7 linked regions of the Ovis aries genome follow. The protein of the gene in region 4 interacts with the protein of the main gene of each other region in a pairwise test. Links are inferred from orthologs where the notes say so. Each region holds a gene or a part of one and is shown on either strand. Other genes may lie near its edges. The genes, in order: UBE3C, GSE1, FAM161A, GOLGA2, CDK18, RGS8 and KRT1.

Evidence for each region.
Region 1: the proteins of GOLGA2 (region 4) and UBE3C interact in binary tests that used the Homo sapiens proteins (3 or more experiments, as listed by UniProt). The two-hybrid records come from large-scale screens. The link is inferred for Ovis aries from reciprocal best matches to the Homo sapiens genes GOLGA2 and UBE3C.
Region 2: the proteins of GOLGA2 (region 4) and GSE1 interact in binary tests that used the Homo sapiens proteins (3 or more experiments, as listed by UniProt). The link is inferred for Ovis aries from reciprocal best matches to the Homo sapiens genes GOLGA2 and GSE1.
Region 3: the proteins of GOLGA2 (region 4) and FAM161A interact in binary tests that used the Homo sapiens proteins (3 or more experiments, as listed by UniProt). The two-hybrid records come from large-scale screens. The link is inferred for Ovis aries from reciprocal best matches to the Homo sapiens genes GOLGA2 and FAM161A.
Region 5: the proteins of GOLGA2 (region 4) and CDK18 interact in binary tests that used the Homo sapiens proteins (3 or more experiments, as listed by UniProt). The two-hybrid records come from large-scale screens. The link is inferred for Ovis aries from reciprocal best matches to the Homo sapiens genes GOLGA2 and CDK18.
Region 6: the proteins of GOLGA2 (region 4) and RGS8 interact in binary tests that used the Homo sapiens proteins (3 or more experiments, as listed by UniProt). The two-hybrid records come from large-scale screens. The link is inferred for Ovis aries from reciprocal best matches to the Homo sapiens genes GOLGA2 and RGS8.
Region 7: the proteins of GOLGA2 (region 4) and KRT1 interact in binary tests that used the Homo sapiens proteins (3 or more experiments, as listed by UniProt). The two-hybrid records come from large-scale screens. The link is inferred for Ovis aries from reciprocal best matches to the Homo sapiens genes GOLGA2 and KRT1.

Annotation. Positions count from the first base shown.
Region 1 is NC_056057.1:120,084,973-120,088,472, forward strand, and holds part of UBE3C (ubiquitin-protein ligase E3C), read left to right. Parts: intron 1-1,669; coding exon 1,670-1,857; intron 1,858-3,500. UniProt on the Homo sapiens protein: E3 ubiquitin-protein ligase that specifically catalyzes 'Lys-29'- and 'Lys-48'-linked polyubiquitin chains.
Region 2 is NC_056067.1:11,180,734-11,184,233, forward strand, and holds part of GSE1 (genetic suppressor element 1), read left to right. Parts: coding exon 1-326; intron 327-1,007; coding exon 1,008-1,120; intron 1,121-1,337; coding exon 1,338-1,608; intron 1,609-2,612; coding exon of another isoform or gene 2,613-2,632; exon of another isoform or gene 2,633-2,866; intron 2,867-2,872; coding exon 2,873-2,986; intron 2,987-3,500.
Region 3 is NC_056056.1:46,312,238-46,315,737, reverse strand, and holds part of FAM161A (protein FAM161A), read right to left. Parts: intron 769-3,500; coding exon 530-768; intron 1-529. UniProt on the Homo sapiens protein: Involved in ciliogenesis.
Region 4 is NC_056056.1:8,015,303-8,018,802, reverse strand, and holds part of GOLGA2 (golgin subfamily A member 2), read right to left. Parts: intron 643-3,500; coding exon 526-642; intron 259-525; coding exon 215-258; intron 113-214; coding exon 49-112; intron 1-48. UniProt on the Homo sapiens protein: Peripheral membrane component of the cis-Golgi stack that acts as a membrane skeleton that maintains the structure of the Golgi apparatus, and as a vesicle thether that facilitates vesicle fusion to the Golgi membrane.
Region 5 is NC_056065.1:3,132,048-3,135,547, reverse strand, and holds part of CDK18 (cyclin-dependent kinase 18), read right to left. Parts: intron 3,036-3,500; coding exon 2,910-3,035; intron 1,815-2,909; coding exon 1,758-1,814; intron 808-1,757; coding exon 693-807; intron 536-692; coding exon 441-535; intron 252-440; coding exon 189-251; intron 1-188. UniProt on the Homo sapiens protein: May play a role in signal transduction cascades in terminally differentiated cells.
Region 6 is NC_056065.1:63,189,037-63,193,171, forward strand, and holds the start of RGS8 (regulator of G-protein signaling 8), read right to left. Parts: upstream 2,801-4,135; 5' UTR 2,576-2,800; intron 1-2,575. UniProt on the Homo sapiens protein: Regulates G protein-coupled receptor signaling cascades, including signaling via muscarinic acetylcholine receptor CHRM2 and dopamine receptor DRD2.
Region 7 is NC_056056.1:133,705,813-133,709,142, reverse strand, and holds the end of KRT1 (keratin, type II cytoskeletal 1), read right to left. Parts: coding exon 3,228-3,330; intron 3,097-3,227; coding exon 2,971-3,096; intron 2,424-2,970; coding exon 2,203-2,423; intron 1,469-2,202; coding exon 1,434-1,468; intron 1,326-1,433; coding exon 973-1,325; 3' UTR 501-972; downstream 1-500. UniProt on the Homo sapiens protein: May regulate the activity of kinases such as PKC and SRC via binding to integrin beta-1 (ITB1) and the receptor of activated protein C kinase 1 (RACK1). In complex with C1QBP is a high affinity receptor for kininogen-1/HMWK.

The sequences.
Region 1 (3,500 bases), on a different chromosome or scaffold from region 4:
GAAATGGCAACCCACTCCAGTGTTCTTGCCTGGAGAATCCCAGGGACGGGGCAGCCTGGTGGGCTGCCATCTGTGGGGTCGCACAGAGTCAGACATGACTGAAGCGACTCAGCAGCAGCAGCAGGCTACAAGAGAGGGTGAACAGTTTTCACATGCGCTGGTAAGCCAGGAGGTTCATGTGGCTCGCTTTATTCCGGTGCTCGCTTTGCCGTGGTGATCTGGAGCCACGCCTGTGCCATCTCCACCGAGTGCCGCTGCACAGTGTAATTTGTGCCTGAGTGCAAAAGAGGAGAGAGAGAGCTGGCTCAAAACTCAGCATCAGAAAGCGAACATCATGGCACCAGGTCCCATGACTTCATGGGCAAATCGATGGGGAAACAGTGACATTTCATTTTCTTGGGCTCCGACATCACTGCAGACAGTGACTGCAGCCACGAGATTCAGACGCTTGCTCCTTGGAAGAAAAGCCATGGCGAGCATAGCATATCGAAGAGCAGAGACACCAGTCTGTTGATGGGGGTCTGCTAGTCAAAGCTGCTGGTTCTTCAGGGAGTCAGATACAGATGGGAGAGTTAGACCATGAAGAGGGCGGGGTGCTGAAGAGCTGATGCTTTTGAATTGTGATGCTAGAGAAGACTCTTGAGAGTCCCTTGGACTGCAGGGAGATCAAACCAGTTATTCCTAAAGGAAATCAGTCCGGAATCTTCATAGAAAGGACTGATGCTGAAGCTGAAGCCCCAATACTTTGGAAGAGCCGACTCATTTGAGAAGACCCTGATGCTGGGAAAGATTGAGGGCAGGAGGAGAAGGGGACAACAGAGGATGAGAGGGTTGGATGGCATCACTGACTGAATGGACATGAGTTTGCGCAAGCTCTGGGAGATGGTGAAGGACAGGGAGGCCTGACGTGCTGCGGTCCATGTGGTCGCAGAGAGTCGGACACGACTGAGTGACTGAACAGCAGCAGCGACGTGCGGATGCACGCGTGTGAGCTGCGTCTCTCGCAGGGCGTGTCATGTGGCAGAGCGTTACGGATCACACAAGCTGCATCCCTCCAGGCTCCCAAGCAGTGCAGTCAGCAGTGCCCAAACTGCACGTGCAGTCACATTTGTTTCCTCGTGTATGTGTGTGTGCGTGCATACGAGTGTGAGGAGAGTCTGTGTTTCACTAATAGACCAGATAGGTAAGCTCCATTGAGTATTAGCTCAGATTTCAGTCAGTGTATCAGATATTCGAGAGAAGTTGAGATACAAAATGACAGGTTTATGTATGCATTTTGATTTTTTTAACGTTTTTAAATATTTGCTTAAACTGTGGTATCTCAAGTCATCTAAAGTGGACATTTTGCCGGATGATAATCCGTTTTCACACGGGGGCTTCGTCTGGAGCGGTCTGAGCACTGTGGAGTGAGCCCTGCTCTCAGTGTGAGGACCTAGAGCTCGTCAGTCCCCCAGCAGCCGCGCCCACGGCCCTGCTCCGCAGGCACAGAGGGACCCGCAGGGGTGCCCTCGGTCTGCAGGGGACCTGAGGGCCATTCGGTGCACGACTTAGCAGAGACGCTGACGTTGTCCGTCGGGATGCGGGTGGCCTTTAGATAGTGCCTGTCGTGTGTGAGTCGCGCTGAGCTCTGCCGGGACGTGGCTGACCGAACGGTCCCTCTGCCTTTCAGGAGGACGGGCGGCTGTCTGTGCTGTACATCGCCGAGGAGTGTCTGAAGAAGCTGGACACGAAGCAGCAGACCAACACGCTGCTGAGCCTGGTGTGGAGGGACTCGGCCAGCGAGGAGGCCTTCACGCTGATGGCGGCCATCTGCCACACGCTCATGGTGCAGCACCGCGTCCTGGTGCCGCGGGCCAGGCGAGTGCCACACCCCCTGCTGCGTGGGCGCCCCGGGCCTCCCGCCCTGGTGGGGGCTCAGGCCTGCCCGGGGCCCGGTGAGGGAGCCCGCAGAGGCTCGGGCTGTCAGAGTGCCGTGACGGTTTACTTTGGTGCCTGAGGAATCCTTTTGTTCTTCAAAGCAGTGAAGTGAATGTTTGAAGGACAAAGCATGGAAGTTTGAATGTGGCCGGTGGATGTGACGGTAACTTTCAGCTCCCCTGTCCCTGTGCTTTGAGGGACAGCTGAGCAGGTTCCTAGGCTTCGGCAGACATGTGCTCAGGGCAGGACGTGAGAGTGGGCACGGTTGTGGGCGGTCCACCGGGAGCTGAGGTCCTCCCGCTGCAGGCGTGTGGGGGCGTGCGTTCCCGGCGGCCCGGCAGAGCCCCTCTTCTGTGGAGAGCTGTTTCTTTGGCTAGGAGAGCATTCTTTGACACGAACTGCGTGCAGGGAGCACTCGGCCGCAGCGGCCTTGTAAACAGTCGTGCAGCCAGCTAATTAGGTGCGATCTTGGCTCGCTGGTGTTTATTACTGTCTGAGGAAGTGAGGCGGCGTGAGGCAGTGAGCCCTGGGTGAGTTGATTAGCTCACGGTGGGCTGATTGCATCGGAGCAGGATGTGAGATCTGAGGACCTGCAGCCCAAGCAGGCCGCTGGTTTTATTGGAGCTCAGAGTCCATGGCTCTGGGCAGTAATGCCTGGACTTGATGTATCACTGCCCTGGCCTGAGGTTTACTGCAGAACCGCTTCCACGGGGTGTTTAATGGGAGAGGAGCTTTATACGTAGCCTGGGTTTTATGAGTACAGCACCTGTTTCCTCTAAGAAAGTACTCTAGGAATTTTATTTATGGTTTAAATATATTAGGTTCTGAGTATTTAGAGTGTTTTTCATAGCTCGTAAAAGAGCAAAGAGGCTTATTTTCGCTGTTGTAGATGTTAACTGCTTTCAGCTTTTTACGAAGGTATTTAAAAGATGATTAGTCAAGTCTAGGCGAATAACTCTCTCTCAGCTCCTCCCAGGCTCATAGTAGTCCCCCTTATTTTCAGGGGTGGGGTTTGTGGCTTTCGCTTCTGTTTACCATTGATCGTCAGGAACTCTGAAGGAATTTGGAGGCCCTTTCTTCATTGATATGGGAAGGTTTCTAAGATACATGTGTAAGTGAAGAAAAGGTTTCAGAACAGTGAGTAGTAATGTTTTGTGCCTTAAAAGGCGGGAAAGGTAGAATGTGTATCTGCATAAAGAAACCTGGCAGCGCTCACAGGAAATTCACAGACGTGATGAATCACACGTCTGGGCTCCTTGTGGGGGTGGGGGCGAGGGTCGAGGAGGTGGAGAGAGTGGACTTTGAACTGTATACTTTAACAGGGTTTTGGGTTTTGAATTATGTGAATTATTTTAATTTTTAAAGATTAAGTAGTTAACGAATCTCTATCTCCTTTTATGAAAGTCTGTAGATCTTACCATTGAACTTGGAAATCTGAATAAGTTTTTGAATTTAAAAATTGCTCTTCTTTTGGAAAACACATTCACTAACTTTGAATGTGAGCAGGCATTCACTGGTTGTGCTGGGGCTGGGAGAAGGCCGGCTCTCTCCCAGTGTCTCGAGAACTGAGCCTCGTAGGTGGA
Region 2 (3,500 bases), on a different chromosome or scaffold from region 4:
GGCCGTGCCCCTGGACAAGTACCCGCCGCCGCCCCGGGAGCCAGGGGCCCTGGAACCGCAGGCCTTCCCCCCGGGGCCCGGGCCCTTCCTGGCGGAGCTCGAGCCAGCCACCCCGACTGTCTTGGGCCAGCCCCGGGCCTCGCTCGCCCCGCCGGCCACCTTCGGGGAGCCCCCCGGACCCCTGAAGCCGGGCTCACCCTACCGGCCCCCACCGCCTCGGGGCCCCGACCCGGCCTACGTCTACGATGAGTTTCTGCAGCAGCGCCGGAGGCTGGTCAGCAAGCTGGACCTGGAGGAGCGCCGGCGGCGGGAGGCCCAGGAAAAAGGTCTGGTCTCCCCTCCTCGCTCCTGCGCTTTCCCCCAGACTGCTGGCCCAGGACTCGGCCAGCAGCGCCCTGGGATTCCCCGGAAAGCCACAGAGAACAGGAGAGCAGGCAGGCCCGGGTCGAGCGTGGTGCCTTCCACCCACACAGCCCCTCAACAGCCGGGTGGGACCAGGGGTCCCAGCCTAGCTCCTGCCGGGTGCCAAGCCCAGCCTCACAGCCAGAAGTGGGGCCCCAGGCCACGTGAGGAGCACGTGTTTGGTCCTGGAAGGGCCACCCCTCCACTCACCTGTGAGGTGGCCGGTCTGGCCCTGGGCCCTCGGGCTCTGCTGTTCTGCACGGGACTCTGCGCGCGGACTCTGCGCCTTTGTGCGGACGGGGCCCTTGAGTGCCCTGGCTCTCCTGAGCAGGAGGGGGATCGGATGTGCAGACAGACCTGGGCTACCCTGGCAGTCCCTTGCTAGGGGGCTGTGTCAGCCCTGGTGCGCACCTCGTGCCCCCACCGCCAGCCCTGAGGAGGCCTGGGGCCAGGGGTTAACGGACGCAGGGCCCAGGGTTGGGGGTGGTCAGGGGCAGCAGGGCCTGGCCTATGGGTGGGCTCTCAGGTCCGAGGGGTGCCCCGTGTGCATCCCCTGGAAAGGTGAGCCCCCTTGCCTGGCTGAAGAGCTCCGTTCCTGCCTCCAGGATACTACTACGACCTGGACGACTCCTACGACGAGAGCGATGAAGAGGAGGTCAGGGCCCACCTCCGCTGCGTGGCCGAGCAGCCGCCCCTCAAACTGGACACATCCTCCGAGGTATCTGGGGTCTCACCGCTGTTGGGCCCTGGGCTGGGCTGTGGGCACCCCTCTCGGCTTCCCCGCGCCGGCTGAGATGCCTTCCGGGCGCCCTCCTCCCCCTCCCCGGGCCAGCCCGGAGCGTCCTCAGCGCAGCCTTCGAGGCCCAGGAGGCCCCGGGGTCAGCGGGAGCCTCTGCCCGTGGTTTCAACCTCATTTGTTTTCTTTCCCAATCTAGAAGCTAGAGTTTTTGCAACTTTTTGGCTTGACCACCCAACAGCAGAAGGAGGACTTGCTGACCCAGAAGCGGAGGAAACGCCGGCGGATGCTGAGAGAGCGCAGCCCGTCGCCCCCGACGGCGCGGAACAAACGGCGGACGCCTTCGCCCAGACTGGCGCTGTCCACCCGCTACAGCCCTGACGACATGAACAGCAGCCCCAACTTCGAGGAGAAGAAAAAGTTCCTGACCATCTTCAACCTGACCCATATCAGCGCCGAGAAGAGGAAAGGTGAGGCGGGGCCGGGCTGGGCCTCGGGACAGGCTCACCAGGGCGGCCGGGGGTCTCTGAGGAAGCAGGCGGGGCCGTGGGCTCTCGGGGTTGAAGTCGGTCACAGACTCGTACCCCCGTCTCTTCGCCACCACGCCTCTCTCTGTGGGAAACTCACACGGCCCCTCCAGAGCGTGCTTTCTCCTGTGTCGTCCTGGGACACTGAAGGGGGCTGGTGTCCTGTGTAGTCAGCCGTGGACTCCCACCTGCTTTTGTCCCCGCCTGGGTCTCGCAGTGCCTGCGGTCGCTGGGTCTCCGCTGTGCGGGCGGCTCACATGGCCGCCGTTGCTCCTTCTGATGGCAGGAAGTGTGGGTGGTCCGAGGCCATGGGGCGGGGCCGGGCCGACACCCACCCCGCATGGACGGCTCACCCTTCCAGCCCGGTCTGGCCACAAGGGGTGACTGGGCTGGAATCTGAACTCGCCTTCTGGGGCACCCCTTCCCTGGTCTGTACCTCATGCTTGCTCAGCGCCGCAGGAAAACTCGACCTTTCTGAACCACACGCCCACACTGTCCCCGCTTGCCGAGGCCTGGTCACCTCTTTCTGGAAGGAAGTTGAGGAAAGCAAGAGTGCTTGTCGGTCGTTTTAGTTGCTTCCACTCACTTAGTTCGTTTTGGGCTGCACCGGTGGGCCTGGATTCCTGCTCTCCCTTAAAGAGGCAGTGATGGGACCACGACACATCCCTGAGAATGTGAAGGGTTTTGTTTGAGAAGCGCGTCTCTCAGCCTGACTCAAATCCTAAGGAGGTTGGGCGAGGAGCCCCTGAACTGCGGGGTCATACGGGGTGTGTGCGTGTGTGTCCCTCTTCCCTGGTGGCAGCTGACACAGGAGCCTTGCTTGCGGCGGGAGCAGCGGGGAGCTGACCACCCCCGGAGAGAGCCTGCCCGCCCTGAGGCGCGGTGTGGCTTTTCGGGGTTGCTTCCTGTGTTGAGGCCAACTTTTTAAAATGAGAATTCTCCCACAGAGGCCCGCAGGTACCTGTGACTCGCCACATGCACGCACCGTTGTTCTTGGAACACCTGAAACGTCAGGGGGTGGCAGCCTAGGAGTCCGGGCTCTAAAGTGAACGTTCTTCCTCTAAAGCCAGCCTGTGCCCGCGGCTTCGTGTCTCGTTCCGAAGGACTCGCGCCTGCCGGCTGCGGCCTGAGCTACACTCCTGCTCCTCTGCCCGCTCAGGAGTGGCGCGGTCCCCCCCCCGGTAATCTCGGGCTGCTTTTCTCACAGACAAAGAGAGGCTTGTTGAGCTGCTCCAGGCCATGAAGCAGAAGGCGCTGTCCGCCGCAGTGGCAGACCCGCTCAGGAGCTCTCCGAGGGACAGTCCTGCCGTGTCCCTGAGCGGTAAGGCCAGCCCCATCCGCCACCCCCGGGACTGTCCCGGGGGTGCCCAGGGCCGCAGGCCACCGACCACCCCAGGTCGTCTTCCTCCCGGACACGGCGGGCTTCTTTCTCCCTCTCCTTTCTCTCTCTCAAGCTTCCTGCGCGTGAGACGATCTCAGCGGAACACGGTGCCACCAGTCATGCTTTCAGGGGTGTGGGGTCCTGGCTCCTCCGGCGGACTTGGCCTGGTGGCAGGTGTGGCCGCCGTCCATTCCTCCCGCCGTGGCCCAGGTTTCAGTTTCAGCACTTGCTGCCTGGGCTGTGTGCTCCTGGCGTGTGTCTCAGAGGCCCTGTGATACCTGCTTTCTCTCTCTCTCTCCCTCTCACGGCTCTGACTCTGCTGTCCTGCTGACGAAGCAGGAAATGGTGGTGGTCTGGCCCTGTCCTTGGCCCCTGATTCAGTCTTTCTCTCTGGATCTGGCTGTGTAACTTCCTGCCTCTCGGATGACCAGAAGCAACTTGCTCCTTCCTTCAC
Region 3 (3,500 bases), about 38 Mb from region 4:
TGAGAGCATCTTGATTTTGAGTCCTCAGTGCCTAGGCAACATCTGGTACACAGGAGATGCACCATCAGTGCTGACTAACTGGATGACTGGCTTCAAGTTTCGAAAGAAGCAGGTTTATGGCAAAAATGACTATTTTGAAAACAAATCAGATTTATGTCTTAGTTCTGAACAATCTGTGTTATATCTGCAAAGAGCTCACATTAATCCACATATTATAAAAATAAAAGACATTTAAAATGGAATTCTAATATTCAACATTTGAAAATGGCCCAGGCTAAATATTTTGATACATGTCTAAGAGTGGTGCATCGGAGAGAAAAGACGTGAATGTCCACCAAATAACCCTCAAAGCAAGAAGCTACCTAGTAGGTTGATAAGCCATCAAACAATCTGAATAAAAACCCACCTCCATATATCATTAAAAGCACAAAGCGATATTTGAGAGAAAATATTTTGAAATAATTTGTTTTGCATTTTTAACTATACATTTTATCTTACAGTCTACAAATAACAGTATGGACAAACTTACCTGGAAGAGACACTAGCAGCTTCTTCCCTGGTGACTGCTGGCTGAACTTCCTTTAAATTTAATTTATTCTGGTACAATTTCTCTAACTTTGCCATAGTTTCTATGTGGGCTGCCTTCAGCTCTTCTAGTTTCCTGAAATACTCTTCATTAGAGTGGTAAATATCAGAAAAGTCCACAAAATCCTCATGGCTTATATGTTTTTGTTCATTCACCCTATAAATGCTGGTGTTAAAATCAGCCTGGTAGGATGAAAAAAACCTGTTATATGATGTCTGGAGTTGTAAGACAAATTAAGTTGACACTTATTCCCAATGCTGCTTTTTTAAAAGTCCACTTAATGAGGTTATATGTTTACTTGTGGACTATGTACATATAACATAAGTTACTTGTGGGCTGTATACATTTTCTCCTAATAAGCATTTTATTAAGAATAAGAGAGAGAGAGAGAGAGATAGAGAGACCAAGTTGCCAGAAAATAAATACTGTTTAATCCATCTTTAAAGGGTGGTTAGATTCTCAAATTATGTACTAAGAAACACTACGGCAGGATCAAACCAAATCACGCTTTATAAAGAGCCTCCTTCTCAGAGCAGGCTAATCTGAGATGAAGAACACAGTTTCTCCTGTTGCAGACCAACCAACCATAGCCCAGTGCCCTCTCTGAGCTGGGCTTTGCAGTGTGGGCCCCAAGGGTGTTTCAGCAGAGAGGAAAACTGAATGAGAATTCCGGGAAATGTGGGAATGGAGGGAACAAATCTTGGGGGCTCATCAAGAAGCCAGAGAGAAACTCTCCTCCATGTGCATGGGGTGGGGGTTGGGGGCAACCTCAGGAACAGCAGGAGGTGAAGGTAGGAGGGACTTTCAGAATAGCCACTCCTGTGGGCAACAAGAACAGTAGCTCCCATGGTGACAAGGACTGTGGGGGTGACAAGGGAACAAGAACACATAGGGCGGTTATTCTATATACACGCCTACAAGGGTAAGGCTGATCCTTTCCCCCTCACTCCCTTCAAATACCTTTCAATTTCCTTTAACTGAAAGAACTTTAAAGAGGTAAAACCCCATATCCTCCACAAGTATATAAAAATTGCTCAGGTAAGAAACAATTGAAATTGTTTATGATACTATGCATAAAAGGTTACTATGGTTTTAAATTTAGCTTACTGCCTGAAATAGACTCAAAATGAAAAAAGTATATTTGCCAAAGAAAAATAGAGATCCAACCTGATAAGACTCTAGAAAATAAACCTGAATAGTGTCTCCCAACAGAAAATTCAGAAGATTCAGTTGTCCATAATACTTATAACACTTTAATGGGCTCAAAAACATGAGGCCAGTGTTGTACCACTTGCGATAACTTAAGAGAAAACAAATGAAAGAAAACAAGTTTTCTTCCGTAGAACAAGTGTGCAGAAATTTATTACCAAATAAACTGGAGAATTTCTTTATGAGTCATGTTGCTGTTGTTCAGTCCCCTCGTTGTGTCCAACTCTTTGTGACCCCATGGACTGCAGCACGTCAGGCCTTCCCGTCCCTCACCATCTTCCGGAGTTTGCCCAAGTTCATATTCATTGCTTCAGTGATGCCATCCAGCCATCTAATCCTCTGACGCCCTCTTCTCCTTCTGCCCTCAATCTTTCCCAACATCAGGGATTTTAAAATGAGTTGTCTGTTCGATCAGATGACCAAAATACTGTAGCTTCAGCTTCAGCATCAGTCCTTCCAGTGAATATTCAGGGTTGATCTCCCTTAAGATTGACTGGTTTGATCTCCTTGCTGTCCAAGGGACTTTTAGGAGTCTTCTCTAGCACCACAGTTTGAAGGCATCAATTCTTTGGCGTTCTGCCTTCTTTACAGTCCAGCTCTCACAACTGTATGAGACAACCGGGAAGATCACAGCCTTGACAACATGGACCTTTATCAGCAGAGTAATGTCTCTGCTTTTCAACACTGTCTAGGTTTGTCATAGCTTTCCTGCCAAGAAGCAATTGTCTTCTGATTTCATGGCTACAGTCACCGACAGTGACTTTGGAGCCCAAGAAGAGGAAATCTGTCACTACTTCCACTTTTTCCCCTTCTATTTGCCATGTAGTAATGGGGCTGGGTGCCATAGTCTTAGTTTTTGTAATATCTAGTCTTAAGCTGGCTCTTTCACTCGCCTCCTCATACTCATCAAGAGGTTCTTTAGTTCCTCCTCGCTTTCTGCCATTAGAGTAGTTATCATCCACATCTCTGAGGTTGTTGATGTTTCTCCCACCTACTTAGACTTCAGCTTGTAACTCGTTCAGACCAGTATTTCTCAAGATGTGCTCAGCGTATAGGTTAAACAAACAGGGTGACAGCAGACAGCCCTGTCATACTCCTTTCTCCATCTTGAACCAATCAGTAGTTCCATCTAGGGTTCTAACTGTTGCTTCTTGACCCGCATACAGGTTTCTCAGGAGACAGGTATTCTCATCTCTCTAAGAGCTTTCCACAGTTTGTCATGAGCCATACAATCAAAGGCTTTAGCACAGCCTAAAAGATGAAAGAGAGAGGTTTTTCTGAAATTCCCTTGCTTTCTCTATAATCCAGTGAATGTTGGCAATTTGATCTCTAGTTCCTCTTCCTTTTCTAAACCCAGCTTGGACATCCTCAAGTTCTTGGTTCACATAATGCTGAAGCCTAGCATGCACAATTTTAAGCATGACCTTACAAGCATAAGAAATGAATGCAATTGTCCGATGGTTAGCACATTCTTTGGTACTAGCCTTCTTGGGAACTGGGATGAGGATGGACTTTTTCTAGTCCTGTGGCCACTGCTGGGTCTTCCAGATTTGCTGACATAATGAATGCAAACCCTGATGGCAACATCCGTTAAGGGATTTGAATAGTTCTGCTGGAATTTCATCACATCCACTAGCTTTATTAATAGCAGTGCTTCTTAAGGCCCACTTGAGTCATACAACTCACTTAAGAGAATTTTCTGACA
Region 4 (3,500 bases):
ATTTTCCCTCCTACTCTAACCCATGCCGAGCTCCAGTTTTCGGGGTACCTCGGACACAAGACCGTTGAGCTGCTGAGACAGCTGTCGCAGACTCTCGGTGGATGAAAAGGATCTGGGGATGAACACAGCAGTCAGGGGTGCAGGAGGCTCGATGGGAAAGGGGGGGTCACGGGGCGGTGGCCTAGGGACTGGTGCCCCCGTGGGAGACACTCACGTGCTTTCGTCAATGGGACCAGAACGGTTGTCGGCATCATGGTTCTGTTTGGGAAGAAACACAGGAATTGGTCATTCAAGTTTTAGGAGGAACCACCTACAGGCACCAAGCTCATTCCGACCACTTTCCACCTCCCTGAAGCTTAAGGGGAGTCTGGTTTTGGGCTCCCCCATCCCAGTCCTCAGGAAGGGCACCTGGCTCACAGAGCCAAGATACCTGGAAAAAAAGGACGAGGGTCCACAGGAGGTCCAGTCCTCCGGGAAACAGGAGGGGGTGAACACAGAGCGGGCCAAGGGGGAAGAGGCACAAACCTGAGTTGATGCCATGCTAGTGACACGGGGGGGACTAGCACTGGGGGAAGGGACACCGCCAGGTGACACGGTGTCATCAGCAGATGGTGTAACAGGAGCGGCGCGGTCTTTGGGCGCCTGTCACAGAACAGAGCAGGGGGTTAGGGGGCCATGCAGGGCAAAGAGTGCCTCGCTGTCATGAGTGCAGGGGTGCAGAGCTGGCAGGACCGGTGTTGAGCAGTCGTGACAGTCACACGTGCTGGGAGCCACGCGGGGGTGTGGCTGCGGCTCGCCTAGAACTTGGGCCATTCTGCCGCCTTCTGGACCGAGGCTCAGGGCAAGGGCAGTGAGGCCTGCTTCCTGAACATGGAGTGTCATCCTCTGTGGAGCTCAGTCAGAGGCAGGGCCAGGCTGCCCTCTGGCAGCCGCAGCAGGTAAGAGGGAAGCGTGCCGGGGCAGGGAGAAGCAGGTGTTGCCTTTCCAGAGGGTCAGTCTGTGCCAGAGTGACCCTCCCCCGGGACCCTGCTGGGCAGAACGCGGCAGTGATAAAGGAAGAGAGCATCTGCCTCCTCCTTCTTGCTCTCCCTCCATCCCTCCTCCCAACCACTGGGTGTGTCCCCGAGTCATGCCTTTTTTGGGAAAGAAGCCGTCAAACAAGAAGGCTCCTCCTACTCCTGCAGGTGGAAAGAAAACTGTGGCCACTACCCCACCCTAAGTTCCTAGCTCCTAAACACCTACCCAACCAAAAACAGCTGAGAAACCAGAGAGAAGACGTCTACTATTGGCCTCTTGGAGAAGAATTGTGGGTTTGAGGACCAGGGGCCACAGAGAAGTCCCCTCTTCCCCCACCCACGTGGATTCACCTGCTTGACCAGAGCCCCACTGGGCCTCTCTCCAGGCTCAGGCCTGACTGACACTGAGTCCAAGCCGCTGGCTCCTGAGAGCTACCATTCAACAGGTGAGACTGCAGAGGACTGACTAGCTGAGGCTTGGCCAGGGAAGAGCGCCAGGCAGCCAAGGCCTGGCCAGCCAAGGTGGATCTGGAAGGGAGAGGCTGCACCTCTCCTGAGGGAAAAGGCAGCCTGCTCTCTGGACGCCGCAGCCCTGGCCTCTGAAAACTCAAATCTACTGCCCGCCTTAGAGCAAGCGCCACAGAGCCTGGGGAGCTGAAGAAGAATCAAACTGTCGGCATGGTAACTGTCCTCACTGTGACCTCTGACTCCAGAACCTGGTGTTGCCTTGCCAACCTGTACTCCTGAATCTAATAGGTAAGAGTAGGGGTTTGGCAGCTGGCGAGGAGTGAGACTTCAGTGGTGGGGCAGGGGGAGCACACTCTTAGCCATGGGCCCTGGGGAGCCCTAGGTCCCTCCTGGCATCTTGGCGCTCAGGGATCCCTAGCATTAGAAACAAGAGAGCTCAGAAGGGGAAAAAAGGACTTGTCTGAAGACTGAAATATACAGAATATGACAATTTAGTGAACAACCAAGTTATTTCATAATTTTGAATCATAAAACTAAGTATGGAATTTCAAAAAACATTGTCCACTCCCCTCAAATGTCCCATTCCATTAAAAAAGAAAAAAAACACACTTTTTTCTATCCATTATTTCTCATTTCTGGAAATGTCATCAGCTCTGCCTAGGATACTGTAATCACAGGCCTAGTGTTTTTTTTTTTCTTTTACTAGAATAGAAAACTTAAGTGGGAAACAGTTATTGATATAGAGAGGATTTTAAAACAACAAGAAAGGGAACTTCCCTGGTGGTCCAGTGGTTAAGACTCCATGCTTCCAATGCAAAGGACATGGGTTTAATAATCCCTGGTTGGGGAACTAAGATCCCACAAGCTGTGCAGTGCAGAAAAAAAAAAAAAAAAAAAAAGTATGACAAATAAAACAAGAAGGGAACATGGGGTTATGGGTCTTCATTTCCAGGAGAGCAGACGGATGCAGGCCAGGGCTTCGGGACTCCTGGAGGCCCATGTTCCCTCCCCGGGCCACCCAGTGTCTCCTCTGAGAGCCAACAGGATGAGTCACAGCACCTGGACAGACCTGAGTGACTGGGTGTGAGCAGTCCTGATGACTGAAGACTCTCTCACCCCAGCCACCAGGGCCCTGGCCCCACCCCTCTCCCCCTGCCCATCTCCAGCAGGACCTGGCCCCCTTCCAGTTCTACTCTGGCCTGGGAGATGTTCCCCGAGGAAGTTAATTAAGGAGGAAGTGCCAACATCATGTCTGGAGGAGGTCATCTCCTAGTCCAGGTGCATCCCAGACTCCCCTTCTTTCTGGATAATACTCTGTGAGCTCATAGTCCTGGTCGTTACCTGTGACCACATCCTCTGCCTGGGTCCCCTACTCGCAAAATGGATGAATGCTCCCCACTTCTAATCCTCAAACCAGCTTCGAATGCCACCCTCTCCAGCCTGGAATCCATTTAGGATGAACCTCTGCTTCAGTTGAGCATTTGGAATGCTGCCACATCCTGGCTTGCTTCTTTCACCTGTTTTCTCCAGCACCTAGCACTAGCTGTCTGCTTTCAATGTCCCACTGAATACAGTTGTGTCCAGTGGATTTTTAAAAGAGAACAGGGGCAGAATGTCCTGATCACTCATGTGTTTGGTGAACCTCACATCGCTTACAGTTAGTTCCATTGAAAAAATAACCTCAATCCTTCTAACTATTATAAAGTAAGCTCCTTTTCTCTTAACCCTAACATTCCTTACTGCCAAACCAAAAGGAACTGATGAACTGAAAAAAAAAAAAAATCACAAACTGCTTTGTGGTCTACTGGTCTTTTGGGGACAGATGCCCAGGGGGCAAGATTTGAAGGTATGGTTTTATTTAACCTCTCCTAGTCTGAGAACACCACCAGGCGTTCAAACTGAACGCTCAAAGAGCCCTAATCCCACACACCTGCTCCAAAAACTATTCCCAAGTTACCTTTAACCTCCAAGGAGCATCTCACCTTCTCCAAGATGATAAAAGATGGTGGGGGCAGG
Region 5 (3,500 bases), on a different chromosome or scaffold from region 4:
GGATAGACGTGCTGGAACCGGGGAGCGTTACAGAAGCCCTGGGGGAGGCAATCCATGGACAGATGTGCTGGAAGCGGGGAGGGTTACAGCAGCCCTGGGGGTGGGGGGTGGTCCATGGACAGATGAGCTGGAAGCGCGGAGGGTTAAAGCAGGCCTTGCAGGGCGGTCTGTGACAAGCAGGCTCTCACCTTGACGTTGTGCATGCTCATGAGGCTCCCGCAGTGGTCCAGATACTGCTTCAGGTCACGGTCCTGGAACACGGCGCCTGGCTCAGCCCCACCCTGACCCGAACCCTGGCCAGAAGCCCTCCTGGAGGCGGGGCCCAGCCCGGGAGTGGGACAGGCCCCCGGCTCCGAGCCGCCCCTAAGCCTGGGCCCTTGGCCTCTGGGAACAAGGCCCGGGCCACCTCCACGCTCTGCCCCAGCCCCATGCCCACTCACCAGGTACTCAAACACCAGGGTGAGGGAGCGCTCCGTGTGCACGAGGTCATGCAGGGTCACGATGTTGGCGTGCTTCAGGTTCCGCAGGAGAGACACTATGGGCGACAGGCGCGCCTGAGCCCCGCGTGCCCCTCACCCCTCTTCCTGGGATCAGCCTCGGGGGTCCCCCCCCAGCCATGTCTCCTAGCCCCTAGCTGCCCCCAGGCTCAGGACCCCCCGGAGCCTCAAGCCCGCAGGAGCCTCGGTGCGCACCCTCGCGGATGGCAGTGCAGGGCGCCCCCTCCTCGTGCTCCAGCCGGATCTCCTTCAGGGCCACGAGGTTCTCTGTCAGTTTGCTGCGCCCCTTGAAGACTGTGGCATAGGTTCCCTGGGAGCAAGAACAGCAGTCAGGGCCAGCTCTCCTCTGTCCAACGCCCTCCTCTCTGTGCCTCTGCCTGGGCTGTGATGTGGGCCAGACTGCCCTGCCAACTGGAAGAGGAAACGGCAACCCACTCCAGTATTCCTGCCTGGGAAATCCCACGGACAGAGGAGCCTGGTGGGCTACAGTCCACGGGGTCTCAAACAGGCGGACATGACTGAAGTGACTTGGCGTGCACACCCTGCCTACCCTCCCCACCCCGTGCACTTCACTGGAATGCTCATTCCTCCAAAGCCTGCTTCTCTGTGAGGCCGTCCCTAACTCCTCCCCGGTCGGAAGGAGCGTCTCTCCTGCACGCTCCCAGCAGGCAAGGTGCCCCTCTATTACAGCATTAGTTTTGTTCTCCCTTATATTCTGTCAACGTTTACACGCAGGCCTCCTCTGGCTCCCTAGAAGGATAGGGCTACACTCTCCTCCTCTCTGCAAACCATTGCTCACCCCCCAGCCTGGAACACAGAGGCCAGTGCAGTGGCAACAGAAATAGCCAGTAAACACACAGTGCAAAAGCTTATTCTAGGGACCTCCTCAGTCCTCACAGTGCCCTCCACTGACAGAGGGGGAAATCAAGGCACAGGGGGCGGTCACCCCAGAGCTCACCCCAGGCCACACAGCTAGCCAACAGTGGAGCTGGGACGTGATCCTAGGCATGAAGTACTTGCAGAATAAAAAGACTGCATTCTGACCCAGAGTCCATCAGCCACTCCATCCTTAGGGCCTCAGGGCCTCCTCCAGGACCTGGGCCCACCTTAACACCTGCCGAAGGCTTGGCCAGACAGACTGCATGGCCAAGAGCGTAGATGGCAGGAGCTGTGGGCAGGGGCATGTGAGTGCAGACCAGAGAGGCTGGGGAGACCCCCTTCCTCCTCCTCGCCATCCTGCCTGGCAACCTGGCTTCTTACCTCCCCCAGTTTGTCCAGTTTCACGTATGTTTCCAGTTTCCCAAAGCCGATATCTGACTGAGAGAGAGACAAAGCATCTGTGAGCCCGAAGGCCCCCGCCTACGGCCACTCTCCCCGCCCTGGGCTCCAGGCGAGAAGGGAACGAGACCCTGCGGGTCCGACGCGAGCAGGGGGAGGGCAGTGCCAGGTGTTCTCTCCCCGTCTTCTCTCTGGCCCTGGGAGTGAGTTTCTTTCTCCCATGGCAGCGCAGGGACCAGAGCCCAGGGTGCAGGCCTGGGATTGCCCCATGCCTTCATCACCTGTCTCCATCCTGCTCAGAAGCCCCTCAAGGACAGGAACTGTACCTTTTCTGTCACCGCACCTTGAGTGTCCAGTTCAGAACCCACTTCCCTACAGCCTCCCATCAGCACACTTGCTCTCACTCAGCACTCAGTTCAGTTCAGTTGCTCATTTGTGTCCGACTCTTTGCGACCCCATGAACCACAGCACGCCAGGCCTCCCTGTCCATCACCAACTCCCAGAGTCCACCCAAACCCATGTCCATTGAGTCGGTGTTGCCATCCAACCATCTCATCCTCTGTCATCCCCTTCTCCTCCTGCCCTCAATCTTTCCCAGCATCAGAGTCTTTTCAAATGAGTCAGCTCTTCGCATCAGGTGGCCAAAGTATTGGAGTTTCAGCTTCAACATCAGTCCCTCCAATAAACACCCAGGACTGATCTCCTTTAGGATGAATTGGTTGGATCTCCTTGCACTACAACCCTTAAAAGTATGGATTCCCGGGCCCCACCACCCAGAGTCTGATTCTGTAGGTATCTGGATGGGGGATCAGAATCTGTGTTTTGTAAGATTTCCAAAGGAAATCTGACAGGCCAAGGCTCAGAAACACGTGCTAGCTGGCTTACTGATCTCATCTCAGTGAAGACTCAGGAACCCAGAGTGGGCCCAGCTCCATCACTGGTGGGACCCAACTGGGGAATGGAGATGGACAAAGGAGGATCCGCTGTGGGAATCCTATATAGCCAGCAGGTGGCGCTAGAGGCCCAGAAACCTCCCTGGAAACCGCTGCAGGCCTCAGCTGGGACAGGCTAAACCAGGACCATGCAGGGGAGTGGGTGGCCACTCTGGTGACCTCTGACCTTCTTAGGACTCACCAGGGAGGCGCGGCGGGACATTCGGGTGAGCGGTTTGGGCAGGTCTGGGCTCTCCAGCTGCAGCTTCTGCAGGAACTCCTGGGGCAGGCGGATGTCCATGGGCAGAGAGAGCCTCTTACTGATGTCCTGCAGGGGCCAGGATGGAACAAGGTGTCCGAGTTTGCTCCCGGCTAGCCAGGGCTTGTGGGGCCTGCATCTCCCAGCCTGGGTCTCTCCTTCCCTGTGAACAGTCCTAGCAGGATTGAATCATGGGTGAGGATTGCTTCAAAGTTGTGCTCAGGGGCAAACATGAGCATCCAGGTGGTGCTGGGTGACCTCAGGAGGTCCCTTGCCCTCTCTGAGCCTCAGAGTCACCATCTGCAGCCTGAGACTCCTGTAGACACTGCTTCTGTGAGCCTGTTTTTCATACATTTGGGCACATGGATATGGGCCATAAGAACAATAGTCAAATTGTCTAGCCCTTGCTGTGTACCAGGAATGTTCTGAGCACGTGGCATATATTAACTCATTTCATCTTCATCATGATCATTTTAACATAAGGAGACTGTGGTATGCAGAGGCTGAGTAACCCACTCGAAGTTACAGATCTAA
Region 6 (4,135 bases), on a different chromosome or scaffold from region 4:
AATTCCAAACAGAGAATAAAGGTCCTGATAAAGGTTCTGGTGAGAATGTTGATGCTTCTTGAACAGTGAAAGGTATTCTAATTTTCAAGACAGGAAAAGCAAGGAGCGTTTCTAGTGGCTCTGGAGCTGTAAGTATTTGGACAGAAATGAAATGAGCAAGCATATGGGACGGGAGAGCCTAGGAAAGGATTAGCAGGATAAATATCCTAAGCCATGAAGTCGTGATACACAACAAAACTTATATTTGTATGGCACTGCCAAAACCTAAAAATTGCTTTCACTTCTTTAGCTGATCAGGTTTCTTAAGCTCCTGGAGACTAAGTTTTAGGGAAGTTGGAAGGATTAAACAGCATCATGTAAGGAAAATACCTAGTAAAGTTGCCCAGCACATCTTGATAACCAGCAGCTATCATCATTTTTTAGTTGATTCTCATAAAAACTTTTGGAGGTAAGTTGGGCCCTTGTTATTGTACCCATTTTACAGATGATAAAAACAAAGCTGTACAGGATCCCTGAGTGAAGGGCACAGGGTAATTCAATTAATGACCCTAGGGAGACTCGAACCCAGGACCCCCAGGGCTTTTTCCACTCTATACAACATTGCATCACATTCAGTACTGCTGCTACTGCTGACTCATCCCTGAGACCCACATTTGGAGGATTTTTTAAATGGTAATATGATGGATCTTGTGCAGCCAACCATCTACCTCTTACTCAATCCCTTGGGAGTCCCTGGCATTTGTGAAATGACTCTTGTGGTTGAAGCTCACTGATCCATAGGAGAAAGACCTTGGCTTCAAGCGAAAGTCTAATTCAAATGGACAAAGAACATGAGAAAGTTTTAAGATTCCTTTGTGCATAAAGCACTGTGTGAGAAAAAATTTTAATGCCAAAATAACAGGGTCTCCAGGAGCAGCTTACCTCGGCCAGGCCACGGTGGACTAGGGGTCACCCAACACTCTCCAATCCCCATTCACCCCTCTCCCATCAATCTTCTACTAGGACACCTATTTTAAGGACTGAGCAAAGAGCAAATGGTTAATAAAAACAGTTTGCCAGACTGACTGAGTGCTCACAGGGATACCATTCCCAAACTAAAAGTAAAAGCCATCATCAGCATAATAACACATTGCCAGTTAGAGCTTTGAACTTTCCCCCAAGCACGTAGATACTCTCTCGATAACGGTAATCTCACTCCCCCACTTTCCAGCACCTCCTGCATCTTCCCCAAAACACCTGGAGTTTTCCAAAACTGTGGGAACAAATAATCCAAAAATAACCCAAGTTGCAGGAAGGGGTAGGCTTTCCTTCCTATTTCATTAGTTTGAAAGCATCCCAAGATAAACACCTATAAGGACCTTCAGCCAGGTTTTAAGTGTGGAGTGAAACAATAGGCTGAGATGGAATGACTCTAGCACAGAGAAAAGCCGCTCTCCTCCACGCCCCCCTAGACAGCTCTGAGAAGCTGATGCCAAGAAAACACCTCCTATAGACGTTTACTCTGTCCTCAACTCACTGCTTAGAAATTGGTGACCTGCCCTCTCCTAAAAAAAACAATTGCAGCTACGTGTGGTGATGGAAGTTAACTGGACTTAACTGCAGTGATCTTTGCATAATACATGCATATATCAGATTATTACACTGTAACCTGAAACCAAAACGATGTTAGATGTCACTTGTATCAGTTAAAAAAAAAAAAAGACCATCCCAGAAAGTCTCATTTTAAGACTATGTCTAAGAAAACAATCCGGAATGTGAACAAAACTCTATGATATTCTTCCAACATTATATGCAATAATAAAAATGTGGGAAAATATTTGAAACTAGAAGTTGGTGACCTGCCAGCGGATGTGTTAATTAACTCGATGGTGGGAGTCCTTTCAGAATGCATACATGTATCAAATCATCCCATTGGGCACTTTAAACATATTACAATGTTATCTGTCACTACATCTCAATAAAGCTGAAAACGCAAAAAAATCAGTGACCTCCGATGTACTTTGATCTCCCTTGAACCCACTGTGATCGTGAGTTCTCCTGCATCAGAATGTGTCACCAGCATTAGTCACCAGCAGCACAGGGGACCTGCACGCTGTCTGGAAACAGAACAGATGCTGTGGGCAGCCAGACTGCTGTGCCGGCGATCCGCCGAACACAACAGCAAAGACATGAATGAAACGAACAGAAACAGTGTCACGGTCCAGGCAGCAATCTACCATAATCACAGAGCCCCCGAAGGGATCTGCGGGGAGATACTGCGTCCCCTTGGACCAGAAAGGAGGTTTCAGGGGAGGAGAAAGAACAAAAACAGGATATTGGCAGCTTAGCACCCACTGACCAGGAAGAATGGGCATGTTCCTGCACCCTTGCTCCTGGCAAGAGTGACTGGCTTAACCCAGTCTGTCTAAGGAGCTCTGTTAGAAAATGGGATGGTAGGGTTATGACAGGCAGACAGCGCCTTTTCTGCACTGGAGTGCCCTGCACTTCCCAGCAAGACTCATGGCTCAGGATGGCCGGCTGGGGAGGGCCAGTTCGGGGACCCTCTCGCCCGGCTGGAACAGCAGCTCTCTCTTACCTGTCTGGTGAAGGGCAGTGCAGCTGGGAAGGTTTGGCTGGCGCCGGTACCAGCTGGGCATGGCTCAGTGAAGCCCAGAGTGACCGAGTCATCCACTTCCTGGTACATGGGAGAGGGCTGCCGAGGGGCGGCTCACCTCACCTCCGCGAGTTGGGGGGGTACCCCTAGCAGGGCGGCTGTAACATGCGGCTCCTGCTGGCTCCTCACCCGCCTGACGGGCTTTGCATCTCATGAACCGGGAAGGCGGCAAGCGCCAGGGGAAGGGGGTGGGGAAGCGGAGGGAGGGGAGGGGGCACTCTGACAGATGATGCGCGCTGCCACGCAGAGTCGGGGGAGGACCGCAGACTCGAGCAGAATGGCACTGCCTATGAGGCTCTCCTGCTGACAGCGAGCTCACTGGCAGCTGCCTCCGAGGGGCCAGTGCGCTGCAGAAGGCAGGGAGAAGCAGAGCCCCCAGGGGTCTGAGGGTGGAAGTGGAGGCAGAGGTGGTCCCCCAGGGTTGCACAGCAGGGAAGGGGGTGAAACAGGGTAACTGGCCTCAGGAGAGAGAGGAGAACCTGCCTCGCCTCAAAAACAGACCGGGATGGATGCAAAAGACAAAGGCTCAGCCTCAAAGAGCTCTCTCCTGCCATAGCCAACCAGCAAGGATACTCTGGCTTTGGGATGGCTGGGCAAGGTAGAGGAAGCCCAGTTCTAACTTTCTTAATGAGGATTAAAAATCAGCCAGGGAAGAGTGTAATGCATGAAACGTTTCGTGTTATTTGCCACTCCACACCACAGGCCAGCCTGGGTGCCCCCCGGTCAGCTGCCCAACCTGTGATGGGGGTATGGTGGCAAGAACAAGGACCAAGAGAGAGGGCTAGGAGGGGACAGAGAGAACATGTCATGTGATGCTTCTGTCTGTAAAGTTCCATTTGGATGATCAGGAGAAAAACTTTGTGGACAGCTTGGGCCAGTGCCTGGAGCAGCTTCTGAGGGTCAGGGATAAATAACCGTTGGCATCGGATTCTAGAGTCTATGAGACCTGCTGCCCCCACTTGGGGGCACCAGGTTCACCACATAGGCCCTGGAGCTGACAGTCATCGGCTCTGTTTACAAGCAGAGCCAGAGAAAGAGGCTGACGGGGAACAAATAAATAAACAGCAAAGCCAGAAAAGACCAGAGGAAGTGCAGCTGGGGAGACTCGATGAGCACAGCTAATGAACGGAGAGAGATCTCAGATGAGGACCTTCTCCGGAGGGCAGGGAGGGGGATGCAGGGGCCAAGAACTGCGACAGGTTTCCAGGGACCCGTCCTCCCACTACAAGCTAGTTCCTTTCCTTCAGGCCGGCGTCCACACGCCCTGACCAGCGCCGCCCCAGATGACCCCCAGGGGACAGCTGCTCTCGTTAGGACAGTGTCACTGTGATCCATCATGATCACCAACCGGTTCACTGCAGCGTCAGACATTGCCCCAGTTCAACAAAATCAGGTCAATTCGGCCAACAATCCTTGGCGCCGACTGTGCGCCGTGGGGGTTGCAAACATGACTGAGACGTCTTTGTCATGTCTCAGGTGATC
Region 7 (3,330 bases), about 130 Mb from region 4:
CCCAGACTCCTTGTTTGGCACCCACCATAAACACTGTACTTTCCTTCATCATAATCTGGTGTCAGTACCTGGGCTTTACTGCACAAGGGCAAGTGGCCCCAAGTTTTCTTTGATAACATCATCACTGGCTATTCCACATAAACAATTGCTTTTCCAATAATACTCTCCCCCTCTTTTCAATGCCGGATTCCTCTTTCCCACCCTGCTTGGTTCACTGCCCTGTTCAAGTAAGCCCTCTCCGATGAGTAAAACCTGCTACCCTAGTCTCTCTATTTCTCATGACACCTTCACCCTCTGCACAAGAGTTCATTCTAGTTAAATGTTGAATGTTTAAATTTAAATGTTGTCTGACCAGCGTCCCCACCTTGCTCATGTTCATGTGCCCCAACCCCGCCCTCCCCCCAACACACACACCATAGGGCTCCAGGGTCGTCTTCTCCCCACAGAACACCCATCCAGGATGGACAGTGCTGTGAACAAAGGAGATGGAGACACAGAGAGAATTTCAAATGCAGTTTATTGCAGCAACACAGGAAACGGGGAGTTGAAGACCTCTCCACAAAAGACAACTGGCTTACACATTATGTGCAAAACCAAAGCAGCACGGAGCTTGCTGTGCAAGTTAGGACACCAGGGAGCTGTCCAGAGCTTGTGCTCTGTCCATGGCAAAGAAGCCGTGGGTCTGACCAGCTCTCCTCTGGCTGACTTAAGGAGGTGCTTTGAAATGTAATGTGTGTAGCAGTGATTGTTGAAGTGTTTCTTGGGCAGAGTACAGAGCAGGGTCCTAGCTGAGGGACTGAGATTGTCACTGATTTAAAAATTTTCTTTGGAAATCAGAGCAGAAAGGACAGAGCTAGGGAATAGGATGAACCAGTGTAACCATAGCTTTTCTTCCTCCAGTAAGGCTGGGACACTCGGAAGCATATTTGGTAGTGATGGAGAGAGAAAGCTAATGGAGGAGAGAGGACCTCTTTATCTGGTCCCTCTGGAATAGCTGGTGGAAACAAACTTCACGCTGGAACTGCCACCGGAGGTCTTGGTGCTGGATGCCCGACCTCCCGAGGAGCTGAAGCTGCCTCCAGAGCCGCCACCGCCGCCTCCAGAGCCGCCTCTCCGGCTCCCACTGCTGCCGCCTCCAGAGCTGTAGCTGCCGCCACCTCTGGAGCCGTAGCTGCTGCCACCTCCAGAGCCGTAGCCGCCGCCACCTCCAGAGCCATAGCCGCCGCCGCCGCCGCCTCCAGAACTGTAGCCGCCGCCACCGGAGCTAAAACCACCGCCTCCTCGGCCACCGCCGCCACTGATGCTGGTGTGACTGGTGCTCACAGCTGCAAGAGAACATTCGGCTATCATCAACCCCAACTCCCTTTCCAACCCAGCAAGACCAGCAAAACCTGCACCCGAGAAGAAGCCCTGAGAAATCAGTTTGTACTTACACACACTCACGTTCGGGACACACTCTCCAGACATCCTGAAGGAGAAAGAAAAGCATAATACTCATGATGCCAGCTTCACAGACTGCCTCCCCAGGCCCTCTCAGCCATCTGTAAAGAGTCTTCCCACCTGGGAGTCCCCCAGGCTGCTTCATCTGAAACCTAATCCCATTCCCTCTGGCCTCCCGAACTCGGTCATTTTTCTCAGCATCAGTACTAACAGGGCAAAACCTCCATGTAACTTAGACAAGGTAAATATGCCCACCACATCACAAAGGCACTGGCTTTAGGTCAGATGACATCTGAGCCAGCCCAGGTGTGGCTCAGACAGTAAAGAGTCTGCCTGAAATGTGGGAGACCCAGGTTCGATCCCTGGGTCAGGAAGATCCCTTGGAGAAGGAAATGGCAACCCACTTCAATACTCTTGCCTAGAAAATCCCATGGACAGAGGAGCCTGGTGGGCCCCAATCCATGGGGTTGCAAAGAGTTGGACACGACTGAGCGACCAACACACACACACTCAGGTGAAGAATAAATTGCTCTCTCTCAAAGAGTTCAGAGAGAGGCAACAGCCTTCAAAACACAAAAAACAAAAAGAGCTTAGGACTCTGGCTCCCAAAGTGAAACCAAGCGTTTCCTCCTGTGCTGTGTGCTTTTCCTTTCCCCATACCCAGGACAAGTTGCAGTCACGTGATTGCATCTTCAACAGCAACCAGTGTCCAAGGGAGGAAGCACATAGGAAGTGGCCAACTGCCCAGGGTCCCTTCTTCACCTGCTTTCCTCTCCTTCCAGGAGGGTTCTATAGGTGGCAATCTCCACATCCAGGGCCAGCTTGGTGTTCATCAGTTCCTGGTAGTCGCGCAGCAGGCGGGCCATGTCCTCCTTGGCCTTCTGCAGGGCGTCCTCCAGCTCGTTCAGCTTGTTCTGGGCATCCTTAATGGCGTTCTCACCACGTTGCTCAGCATCACTAATGGCCTGTTGCAGTGAAGAGATCTGGAAAAGGAGAACCCAGCATATTATACACTCTCTGAATCCCTAATTCCATCTTGGCCTTTCTGTCTCCGATTGATCTCTCCACCCTTGTGAGGCCAGTACTCTGGCTCCCAGAGAGTTACAGGACCTGCATTCACCTGTCTTGAGATAATACATCACTGTGTCAACTTCCTTAAATAAAGGTGATACAGCAGCCTCTCTGGGCCCTAAGTTAAGACTCTTTCACCGCCTACAGACCTGACGTTCTTCCAGATGCCTACTCTCCTGGTTTCCTTTCCTCACCATCTTTGAAGTCTCACTTTGGGCCATGGGCTAGACCTCTCATGACCACTATATCTATTTCTTTACTAGGTCATTTTCATAAGTTTCCCCAAGGAGAACCTAGCATCATGGCCAAACTCTAGAAACCATAGTTACCAAAGAACTAGGGATAACAAGACAACCTTCATATGGATTGTAAGCCTCAAAATTAAGAACACATCTTCCAATAACCTGGACATCCCAACCCATTCCATATAATTGAGTAGTTGAAGGAGGAAGCAAGTACCTGCTTCTTGACACTGTCGATCTCAGATCTAAGTCTTTGGATCACCCGATTCAACTCAGAAATCTCCATCTTTGTGTTTTTCAAGCTGTCTCCATGTTGCCCAGCAGTGATCTGGAGCTCTTCATACTAAATATGGTAGATAAAGTCGTTCAGAGGTGGCAGAGTGCACCATGGCTCATGTACACAAATGTAAGAGAAAAGTCACGATAGCAAGAGAAGACACTTTAGGAAAACTGAACAGGCATCGGCCCATTCACCTTGGTCTGGTACAGGGCCTCAGCCTCAGCCTTGCTCCTCTGGGCAATCTCTTCATATTGGTTTTTGACTTCATCAATGATGCTATTCAGGTCCAAATTGCGG